Linked DNA regions of Schizosaccharomyces pombe. The protein of the gene in region 2 binds, or shares a complex with, the protein of the main gene of each other region. Each region holds a gene or a part of one and is shown on either strand. Other genes may lie near its edges.

Region 1 (4,617 bases), on a different chromosome or scaffold from region 2:
TTGCGAGACGGATTAAATAGTTTACTCCATTCCATTTAGAATGTGGGGAGCTAATTAAGGATCTTTAAAGATAAATTTGTACGATTTAATCAAAGAAATGTTGTATTTTAAGATTTTGTATGTAATTAACAAAATTTGTCGCAAAACAGTCTTTTTGCTCAGTTATATTATTATTACTCAATTAAAGAATGTAACCTGCTGTTATTGGTATCTAAATCGCTTCCTTATTAAAGTTGTTTATTTATAAAGTAAATTTAAAAAAATCATGGTTCATATTCCTGTTAAAATAGGATTGCATTTTCGTAGACTCGTATTTACTTCAAAACAATCTGGTAATTTATTTCTTCAACAGTTTCAATTCTAAAACAATTGATAAGTTTACTGTATATTTTACTTCATATTAAAAGATATCATTGCATTCTTTTAGCGGTGATTTCAATCAAGCCATTATAGCGTAAATTACCCATCAAGGAACTTTAATATGTAAGCAACAGAACTAATTACTCCAAAAATTCAGATCATATATAATTACTTTAAATCTAGTTAAATGTAAGTGAAGTACCAAATCATAAGGAAAGGAGTCACTTTGTAATCAATGTATGCAAAATCATAAATCGTAGTTTTCGCGATTTAAGCCAAAAACTCAATTACTCGACCAGCGAGACGTAAAACACAATGTTTTATTGAGCAGACTCAATGAAATTTATCAATCTTTTAGACTCTTCCTTCCAGTCCATTTGATTAATTGACATCACTGTATAGCGTACTCGCATTTCACCTTTAAAATTGTCTTGCTTAGCACGACATTGAAAGATATATGGCATATAGCAAGCTTCTGCCATACAATTCATAAAGGCATTTTCGTCGTTTTCTTGTAGATCATTCAATTCGTCTGCCGTTTTATGCATGATTAATTTACCGACGTCGTCAAAGACGTTGAGCCAGAGTTGTCCCGTATGATCACCTACAGCAATAGTTATAATATAACGGTATTGAGGAGCATCATATTCTTTATTACATTTCTCACATCGCCAGGAGCCACCTTGATCAAAAACCTTTTTGTTGCAATCAGCAGCAGGGCAAGCAGGATATGACACGTTTTTCTTTCGAATGTAAACAATGGTGCCCTTTAAGCTAAAATAATCGGGTGTTTCTGACATTCCCAGATGTTCGGCTTGAACCTCAGCAATATTTTTACGTTCAGCACTCCTTCCAGTAGTAGATAAAGTAGATGAAATTACGCTATGTTTGGCAAATTCCTGCCCTCTACCCTGTCCATCATACCAACCTTTTAACAAATGAGATTCCTGGATATCTGGATCTACCGACATGGTGCTGCTAGTTAACATTGACAAAGAGCGTCCTTGAAAGTCATTAACTTTAACTCCTTTGAAAGCGAGAATACTTTCTTCAGAAACAGAGAATTCAATAGCTGTCTTTCCCCAAAGCGTAACACGCATTTCATATCCTGTTTGGTCAACGATAGTGATATCACGCTTGTCAAATCCACGAGAAGTTGCACGACTGGTAATTTGTTGAACTGGTCCAACGTTTTGGAGTACACCAATTACATCGATAACAGCATCTTTGGCAACATCGCCGACTTCTTGTAGAGAAACAAAACTAAACTTCGCAACGGGGACGGCAGTTTGATCCTCAGCTTTCCTTATTTCAGTATCACGTTCAAACATCAGCTCATACTCGTTTTGAACATTGGTATATTGTTTTTTTGCAATGTTCACACGACAACGAGATATATAATAAACCGAACCTTCCTGTAAGATATCATAAAAAGCATCAACCTGGTCATTAAAGCCTGTTGCACGAATCTCCCCACTTTCATCGAGTAAATTTACGCTAAAAAGCTTTCCTTCACCTCGTTGATTATGCCAATGTTTAACCTCAGATTTGTTAGTAACACGGGCACGAATAGTCCATTTATTCTGATATGGAGAGAGACCTTCAATTGGGTAGATTATTGTGCTAAGGCTATTCGGCGCTGCTGGCTTCTTCATCATGGGAGGTGGAGCCGGTGCTGTAGCTGCAGCATTGTTTCCATAAAATGAGTTAGTGCTTGTCGAAATACCTGTTCGTGGTGCGCTAGCATTGTTTTGCTCATTTTGCTGCTGCCGTAAAGCGTCAACTGTTTCTAAACCAGCGGGATTACCAATTTTATCCATTACGCCAAGTTCAGTTAAAACATTCAAACCAAGAACAATCAAAATTTTTCTTTCTTTCATAACGTTTACAGTGAATTGGGTAAGCTGTACGAACGCTCCTTTTTGAAGTTTATTTTCGGCAACCAAATGGTTCAGCTGGGTGCTTAACATAGATTGCGCATAATTGATTGAATCGGAAAGGACAACACGATATCTTTTAGGAGCACCAGAAGTTGGATTTGAGTTTAGCTCCTTCACGGTTAAGACTTGGAGAATTGGATTAGGAGGAAAAGACGAAGCATCGGATGTACTAAAGAAACGTGTTAACATCCCAATTTGTCGAAATCTTTTGAGTATATAATTTGGACAGTTAACTTACTTGATTATACGAAGTGCACCCACGGATAATCGCTCAGCCATGTTTGCAAATTCTTTTTTTTTTAATTAGTGGTTGGTTTAAGGCAAAAGAACGAAGCCGCGTCGCGTTATCCCAAATGAAAAACGCGAACGCGTCATGACGCGTCGTAACACATTTTAATATTACGCGTAACTTTAAGATGTGTTGTTTGTGTACGTGCATGTCAACAATGGTTGTTTACTTTCAAAGTTATCCTTTGCGCACAACACATTGCTATAGAAAAGCCCTTAAAAGCTGAAAAGAATAGTAGTGTTATTTAATTCTCTACAAAAGGAAATAAATCCTTTGTGATTTTCCTTTTGTTGGAAGAGTTGAACTACATTATCATCTGCATATTATTTATTATTTAGGAAAACCGGAGATATCAAAGTGAAAACGGGATTTTAACAGCTAATAAGCAAAAAAATATAACTTTATTTACATTCAGGTTTCAGTTAAAGATGGATTCATCAACCACCATCCCAATTACTCCAACGCGAACACCATGTTTTTTTAATATATCCTCTTCGTTTAATGAGCATTCTCCATTAAATTTCTACGATGAACCCATTTACAATTTTTCGTCTGGCCATGAAGAAAATCAGAGCCATAAGTCATCAAAACTGACATTCTTTAAACCTTCCAATACAAAAAGAAGTCCACATACCCCTATGCAAAATAATGCAAAAGCCATCAGATTATCCACTACAGTTCGCCACGGAATTTTTAAGAATTCAGATCTCGATGGGTGTAGCAAACCATTTGCATTTTCGAGCGGCTTGAAGTTATCCAAAAAAATTGTGGATGCTTCAACGCCAATTGATTTAAAACGAAAAAGGGCGGTGACTTCTTTAAGCACAGGACTGTTATCAAAACGTGAAAAGTGGTCATTATGGGAAGGGAATTTGACTAATCCAAGAAGTGAACAACCTCATACACCTTGTAAAAAGGGAACGAAAATAAAATTAAAACCACCTCAATCTCCGCTGTCACCCACTACCTCTCTTTTAGCTCGCAAATGTAAACATATCGACCTAGATACTTTTAGTCGGTTGGATCATCCAAACTCTGACAGCTCGGATGAAACGTTTGAAATGGAAGAACTTCCTTCTTTGTCTTATGGTTCAGAGGACTTGTTGGAATTTTGCGAAACGCCTTGCAAGAGTCAGCCTATTTTCCTTTCAAGTTCCCACGTTAATAACTGGGATGAGAAAGACGTACCTTCTTCATTAAGTTGGACACCTACCAGTCCAATTTTTTTAAACATCAACAGCGCAGATGATTACGAAGAAGAGGAAGATTGGACTAGTGATCTTCGAATTCGATTCCAACAAGTTAAGCCGATACACGAGAGTGATTTTTCATTTGTATATCATGTGTCTTCGATCAACCCACCTACTGAAACGGTTTACGTTGTAAAAATGTTAAAAAAAAATGCAGCCAAGTTTACAGGAAAAGAGCGTCACTTACAGGAAGTATCTATTTTGCAACGCTTGCAAGCATGTCCATTTGTAGTAAATCTAGTGAACGTTTGGAGCTACAATGATAATATATTTTTGCAATTAGATTATTGTGAAAACGGAGACCTAAGTTTATTTTTAAGCGAATTGGGATTATTGCAGGTCATGGATCCTTTTCGCGTGTGGAAAATGTTGTTTCAACTAACTCAAGTAAGTTATTACATATTTAAAAGTCGCGTTCCACAGACACGTCATTTGAATTCACTAACCGAACATAGGCATTAAATTTCATTCATCTTTTAGAATTTGTTCATTTAGACGTTAAGCCTTCCAACGTTCTTATAACTCGTGATGGTAACTTAAAGTTGGGAGACTTCGGACTAGCAACTAGTTTACCGGTCTCCTCGATGGTTGATCTCGAAGGCGACAGAGTCTATATAGCTCCCGAAATATTAGCTTCGCATAATTATGGGAAACCAGCCGATGTATATTCACTAGGCCTCAGTATGATTGAAGCCGCAACAAATGTAGTCCTGCCAGAAAATGGTGTTGAATGGCAACGACTAAGGTCTGGAGATTACTCAAATTTGCCAAATCTTAA
Region 2 (7,292 bases):
ATAAGTTTGTTAGGTCGCTAAAGCAACTAATAGGATATTAGACTCCGGAAAGACATCCTTAATTGTAAATGCCTGGCGAGTATTTGCTAACCGGAATGCTTCGTCCGGGAGAATATCAATATGCGCTTTAACACCCAATTCTTCCAACATGACCTGAGGTGTTGAAAGTTCTGAAACCATTAAATATCCATGATAAATATTTTTTTGTACCTTTGGAAGTCTCTCTATATATTTTAAGGCCCAGAAACGATTAATGTATCTTCCTATAGTTTTAATTGATTTTTCTTTTTGGTTGTACAAATTTAGTTTTCCACGAAGAATACCATCAGGTATAGTATTTTTTGGAGTCTTTAATAATACCGACTGAATCTGATGATGAGTGAAGAAGTCGGTAAACCGGCGTAAAGGAGAGGTAGACTGAATATAGCCATCCTTTAGCCCCAAAGAAAAGTGGGAAACAGGTGTGGAGGCTAAATGTGAACTTTCAAATAAAGGCATTACAGAAAGTGAATACTTAGTTTCAACGAGTCCCCAAGATGACCTGTTACTTAACAAAGTTTCAAACGCTTTTCTTCGTACACCATCCATAATTGGATAAGGCTGGCCCCTAAAAATCCCAGGTAATTTATGTTCTTGAAAAAATAATGATGAAACCCGGCCAGCCAATATCATGCACTCTGATATTACTGATTCTGCCAAGCTATACCCTTCACTAACGTTCAAACTAATTGTAGGGAAGGAAGACCAGTATACTGGATGATTCAGATCACCAAGATTATAAGGGACATTATTAGGCAGCAATTCAACTGTCGGAGTGGGTTGTGCAATAACAAACGCAAACTTTTGTAACCTAGAAAAACAGGCTTGTTTCGAAAGTTCATATATTCTTAATATATCTTTCATGTGATCATTTGATACTCCTTTTGTTTCCTCATCCACTGGTCCAGAAACGATGTCTTTCGCAATTGATCGATTACTATGCAAAGCTTTATCCAGTTGTTGGGGTGTGTATTTGATAACTGAGGAAATGAAGCTAGGCCGAACCTTGTAATCAAGTATATCGCCATTTTTTGAAATTTTAGCACTAAAAGTTAATGCTCTTTGAGCTGTAGAAGATGAATCTAAACTCCAATATTTCTGAGTGATATTGAGAGGTAGCATATACACAATTTTGTTGGGATGATAAATAGTTTGAAAGTTCCTTTCAGCAAACGTGCCTAAAGGACTGCGAATGTCAACTGTACTCGTAGGATTAGCAACATGGATATGAAGCCAGGAATTAGACATCCCTAATTCTTCAACCGAAATCGCATCATCTATCTCTTTCGTAGAAGAACTATCAAAGGCGAACGCTTTAAGATGCCTTAAATCGACGCGTTGCGATTCAAGTGAATCTTTTAATTCATTTTTTACAAACTTTTTAAAGTGATTACACTCACGTTCATACACAGCATCTAACTGAGGATTAGTACCAAGGCCAGCAATGCTGTATTCCTGTTGAAACAACCTCGGGGGCTGCCATGAAGCCCACACGCCAATATCCGTTAAGAATTTAGCAAACTGATCACTAGTTAATCCCCTCTCGTGAGTTTGAAGGCCAACTTCTTTGTAAACCTGACACAAGTGTGTATTTGGTAAACTTTGAATACTTTTTGCAATCATTTCCTGAACAAGATACCGCAATAGTTTTTTTTCAAATTCAGTCCAAGTGACCTGTGAATAAACTACGGGTTTTATTTCTTCGGTGCTTATAGGTAACTTATATTTATCTCGGGAAACTTGAATTAAATGACGAGCTTTCTTTATAAACGAAAGATATGGTGTTGATTTCTGACGCAGGCATGCAACAACGTCGTCAAAAGAATCATTTTGTGAAGAGGGAAGGAAATAGACTTTTTGAATTTCGGAAAATATGTGATCGCTTATTAAAAAATGTTTGCTTTCTGTAAGCAAAAAGTGTAACAATGAGATTTTAGCATATGGGCTAGGCTTCGAAGTTTTGTACACAAATTTCAAAAGGTCTGAAAAAGAAGCTGAATTGTCAAGTTTATTTGGAATATTGAATTCTGTCAATATTCGCAAAAATTCATTTCGGTGACTTCGACTTAAATCTTGTGCTCTTTGAGAGATTTTTTTTAATAACTTTATAGTGAAAGGTAGGACATCAGAAGGAACAGAAACATCAGAAAGAGGTTGCTGCACCTCTTTCAGCTTTTTAAAGACATTAGGACATCTCAGTAAAACTCTAGATGTACGAAATTCCTTAATAGTACCGTTTTCGTTAATGCTGGTCAATACATTACTATAGTTCCAAACATTAGTACCAGTGCATGCAGCAAGTTCAATGCCTTCGGAGCCCCTATAAAACACTAGCAAATCTCCACGATCGTACTGTCTAAAATTCTCACTGCTGAAATCTTCTAAATCAAAAGAATACTCAAAATCATTTTCCAACTTCTCTTCCTCAGATTTTGTAGTAGTAGGACAAACAGCAGCGCGTTTGTCCTTCTCGAACTTGTCTTTCAACCACTGTCTAATGTTTCCATGATTTTCTAATTCAGAGAAAAATTTTTTAAGGTTTTCCTCATTCACGGATTTCAAATTAGCATTTTTAAATCGATCAATAAGATCTGATTGAGTATGCTTCAAACGCGCACCACAATGTCCCCAAAGATGATGATCGTTTGCTGGTTGTTTCCCGAAATTTATTAGGCATCCAGTTATGCGGAAATATTTCAAAACTTTTGAACTGGAAGGGCAAGCATGATGAAATTTCCTTGTAAGTTTACAAGGAGACAATTTTAAAGACAGGCATACACGTTTTAATAAATAATTAGACTCTAAATTAACATTTTGAAGAAGAAACAATTGCCTATAGTTCATGGGCAAAAACCCTATAATTAGTAACACCAAAAATAGTGTTGATGGTAAATTCGACTAGAGAGCTGAACCAGAGCACTTTTAGGTACTAGCAAGTATTAAGGTAACAAGCTCTGCAAATGTAAATGAAGAGTGGTTTAATAACTAATGTAACAGAAGAAAGATTTCAATATGAGTATGGAGTTTTTTGATTTTTTTTTTTTTGAATTGAATGGTCGAGGGGATGGGCGACTTCAAAGTGAAATACATGAAATCACAACCTCAAGGTAAAACTAATTGAAAAATTATATCATTAAAAGAAGGCTGCTTTCCATCAATTACATTTACTTTTAATTATTGAAGCTTCTGGTCTACGCCTAAGCAATTTACTAATAGTGGTATTGGAAAAGAGAGAAAATTAAGAGTCGCCGACGATTTCAAAAATAGTATAAAATACCATGAAATCTTTCCATAATGTTATTTAAATCACTATATGTAAGACGTATTTATATTGGTCTTTAACCCGTTTATTTACAACATTTCAACCAATTAATAAGTAGTGAAATTAACGCAGAAGGATACAAGGAGATTTTTTTATGAATAATTCTTATAAAAAATAGAACAGTAATGTATCAACGTTAGCCCCCAGCGTTTATATTTACGCTTTTGCTTTTTTATTTACATCCCAGCGCCTTCCAACATATAATACATAACGTACTGCGTTCCAATATTTTAAATAATTCGTGTCAACAAGTAGTTAACTACCTGGTCTGATACATACTTCACTTCCACCACTTTATAAACAACGCGTATAAAATAATATGGAACGCCCTACACCTCGAGTTACGAAAGATATGCTACCAGAATGCTCTGGAAAAACGGTTCGGATTGTTGGCAAGGCGAATCAAGTTGAAGGTGAAACTGCAAAAGTCGATTCCAACGGTTCTTTCGATATGCACCTCACTGTGGTACGTTTTATCTATTTTACAATCGGTTTTCAGAGTTTTTTTATTTTATCTAACTAATTTTAGGATAACACTCTTGAACCCAATCATTTCTATGAATTTGTCGTTTCTGTCAAACCAGATTCTTCGGTGCAGCTTTTAACCTGTGTTGATTTTGGCACTGATATTGGTAAGTTGTGTTTATAAAAATAATAAGGAAGTCCTTTGAACTTCTGCTTCTGCTAAGTCCTACATTCTATTGACCGATTAACTAATTTCCTGTTCCTTTAGATATGGAGGTATACCAGAAACTCGTTCTATTCAGTCATAAGTATAACTCACTTTTTTTTGAATAAGAAACATTTTATGGATCATACAACACAGATTTCTCTTTCATTTCTCATGCACAGTACAAATAAACATGGAAGAATAAACGCGCAGAATCTTGCTTCCTTCTTTTGGTTTTTGCATATTTTATTGCATTTCTAAACTCAAGCTTTTCTTTTATAATGATTCTTCCTTTTGGCTAATACAAATATGAATTTTACTATCGTTTATTTCACTTTTTTTGATTCTTGTTTGAGTATTTTTATATAACGTTCTCCTTTTTTCGCACTATCTTATTTAGTGTATCCTTGAGATGCTCATCGCGGACGATTCGGCTCCGAAGACGGTACATACCGGTGTTTCTTACGTTTGCTCATCCTTCAGTCACCCTGCCATTGTAACAATCCAACTACCATATATATACAAAGCGAGCAACGCAAGTATATCTAGTGGTACTACGCTGAATATCGCTTATTCCTAAAGAAAATTGGTTGTTTTGAGAATTATTATATTACTTTTTCCTTTACAAACTTTTTTGCTAAAACTGTTGTTTAGCAGTTATTGAGATTGTTAGAGAAATAACGTTAGAAAACGTGCATATGCAGAAGTTGGATTGTTTCGGAATTGCTCCGATTGAAATACTCTAAATATATCTGACATTTGTTCTTTGCATTTCTGTCTGCGCCTTATCTTTAGAGATCAGACACGTTTCTTTGAATATAATCTAACTTGCTTGCATGTTAAATTGGTCGAAACAGAGATAAAAGATATCCTGGAATTCATGGTAAACCATCGAGATCTCTTACTAAAAATAGAGAAAAAAGAAAAGAGTTAAGTATTTCGAACCCTATAGTAATTTAAGTCTTGGGAAAATACCTTTTTTCATTTAATTCCATTATTTCTAATTTCCTTTGATATTTCTTCTTTTACGGTGAAAAGAATACCCTTTGCAATCTAAACTGTTAATAGTTTATTCAAAACCAACATTCGTTAATTTTATCGATACAAAACCACGATGAAAGATTCGGAACATCACCATCATGGCCACAACGGCTTTAGTAAGTTTCTCCATAAACTTGGTTTTGGCAAGTCAAAAGGAAAATCGCATAAAAGCAATACCAGCAGTATTCATGAAAGAGAAAATACTGCTGCCAAAGGACCCGCCTCTAATGTGCGTCCTGCTCGCCCTAATGTTAGCACATCTTCCACTTCGAACGAGGTCAGAAAATCTGTACCTGTTGGTAATCCTACTGTACATACCAAAACAGGGTCTTCTTCATCTCCTGCCTCAAAGATGAGAAATACAGTCAACTTGCAGCATATTCAAGCAGCTAACCAAAAAACTCGTAATGCTGAAGGTGAAAGAAAGGTCGCTCAACGCAGGGTCCAATCTGATAAAGCTGAAGCTAATGATGCAGCCATGAGTAGTTCAGCTCCAACGGTAGATGTTTCCGAAGGTAATTCTGCCGCTGAACCAAAAATTACACCCGATGATTCAGATACACCCAGACTTAATGTAGATATGAATGATAAAATAAATGTCGATGAAGCTGCTGCTAAATCTGATAGCAAACTTAATGTCGATCAGATTAATTCTACTACGGAATCTGAAAAAAGAGTTGAGAAAGTTAATCCAAATATTGCGAATAATCCGCTAAAATCACCGGATGCAGTAGCATATAGCAGTGAGACGGTTTCTGATGAAAAACAACCTACTGAGCATCCTGTATCTGCTAATGTCCCTGCAAAATCTGAAAAAGCTGTTTGTGATGAAAATACCAAAATTTCGCTTACAAACACAGAGCATTACAAGTTTCATTCACTTCGCGGAGACGTTGAAGTTGTTGTTGGTGATTTGGAACGTGACGGAAGAGATACCTCTTTAGGCGATGCTTCGGTAAATGAAGCCGCTAAAGAAACTGACGTCGACTCTAGTCGTTTTATTTCAGATGAAAAAGCCGTGACTGAGGATGCGATGAAAACTGAACATGCCTCCAATGCCCCTCTCACTGATGAAAGGCATTTTCAGTTCCATTCTTCTGAAGGAGACATTGAAGGAATCGTTGGGACAATGCAGCGCCAAAGACAATCTGTCTCTTCGTATGACACTATCGTTCCTAGCCAATTCTATAAACAGAAGGTGGTGCAAAATAGCCCCCCAAGCTTGTTGAGCACTGATAACAAAATTCCAGAATCCGGCTCAGATCATCCCTCAAGTCAAGATAATTCCAGTAAAGCATCCTTGGTAGAAAACTCTCAGACACAATCATCTACTCCGAGAAAGCCGTTGCCAACTACCACTAGTCCTAAAGTAAATCCGGAACCGCATAGCGAAAGTATATCTGACACACGACCTTCTACTCCTAGAAAAGTGCCACCAAGTACAGTTCCTAAAATGAACCCGAAGCTCCAGGGTGGCAATAGCGTTACAGCCCCTTCCACCCCTAGTAAAGTGTTGCCAGCGATGAGTCCCAAGGTGGCTCCCAAATTCCAAGGTGGACGCAGCAGTACAGCGCCCTCTACTCCTAATAAGGTATTACCAGCAGCATCTGCTAAAGCTGCTCCAAAGCTTCAAGAAAAAGCTGCATCATTTGACATTCCTAATAAATCTACTATTATCTCTACTAAGTCAACGGTAGCATCGCCAATTAAAGCAAATGAGAACAGTCCTGCCTTGAAGTCTAAAGCATCTTTTGAGTTCCCTAAGGAATTAGATCCTGATGGTACTTGGAATGCACCAATTCCTTATCCTGATGCAAATTGTCCTATGGCTCCCACTTATCGGAATTTGACTTCTGAACAAGAAGAAATGTATGAAGAAGTACTTAAATATTGTTTGGAATTAAAAGAGATTCCTGTAGCGTCTAATTCTAGCAAGAAAACGGATTTGATTGAGTTGGAGCGTCTTTGGCTAACACGCGAATGCATCCTTAGATATTTGCGTGCTACTAAATGGCACGTTTCCAATGCAAAAAAGCGTATTGTTGATACTTTGGTATGGCGTCGTCACTTCGGTGTTAATAATATGGATCCTGATGAAATCCAAGAGGAGAATGCAACTGGTAAGCAAGTATTGCTAGGTTACGACAAGGACGGTCGTCCCTGTTTATACCTATATCCAGCTAGGCAAAACACTAAAACCTCACCACTGCAGATTCGGCA

The links.
Region 1: ssb3 (region 2) and ssb1 share a complex: the UniProt entries of both Schizosaccharomyces pombe proteins name them as parts of the heterotrimeric canonical replication protein A complex.

Annotation. Positions count from the first base shown.
Region 1 is NC_003423.3:218,682-223,298, forward strand, and holds ssb1 (DNA replication factor A subunit Ssb1), read right to left. Parts: upstream 2,618-4,617; 5' UTR 2,580-2,617; coding exon 2,539-2,579; intron 2,470-2,538; coding exon 681-2,469; 3' UTR 501-680; downstream 1-500. Other genes in the region: M phase inhibitor protein kinase Mik1, read left to right, coding at 3,018-4,226, 4,295-4,617. UniProt on the Schizosaccharomyces pombe protein: As part of the replication protein A (RPA/RP-A), a single-stranded DNA-binding heterotrimeric complex, may play an essential role in DNA replication, recombination and repair.
Region 2 is NC_003421.2:1,278,753-1,286,044, reverse strand, and holds ssb3 (DNA replication factor A subunit Ssb3), read left to right. Parts: upstream 1-3,643; 5' UTR 3,644-3,680; coding exon 3,681-3,827; intron 3,828-3,890; coding exon 3,891-3,993; intron 3,994-4,094; coding exon 4,095-4,159; downstream 4,160-7,292. Other genes in the region: rpm1 (3' ssRNA-specific 3'-to-5' exonuclease), read right to left, coding at 10-2,883; pdr16 (sec14 family protein), read left to right, coding at 5,146-7,292. UniProt on the Schizosaccharomyces pombe protein: As part of the replication protein A (RPA/RP-A), a single-stranded DNA-binding heterotrimeric complex, may play an essential role in DNA replication, recombination and repair.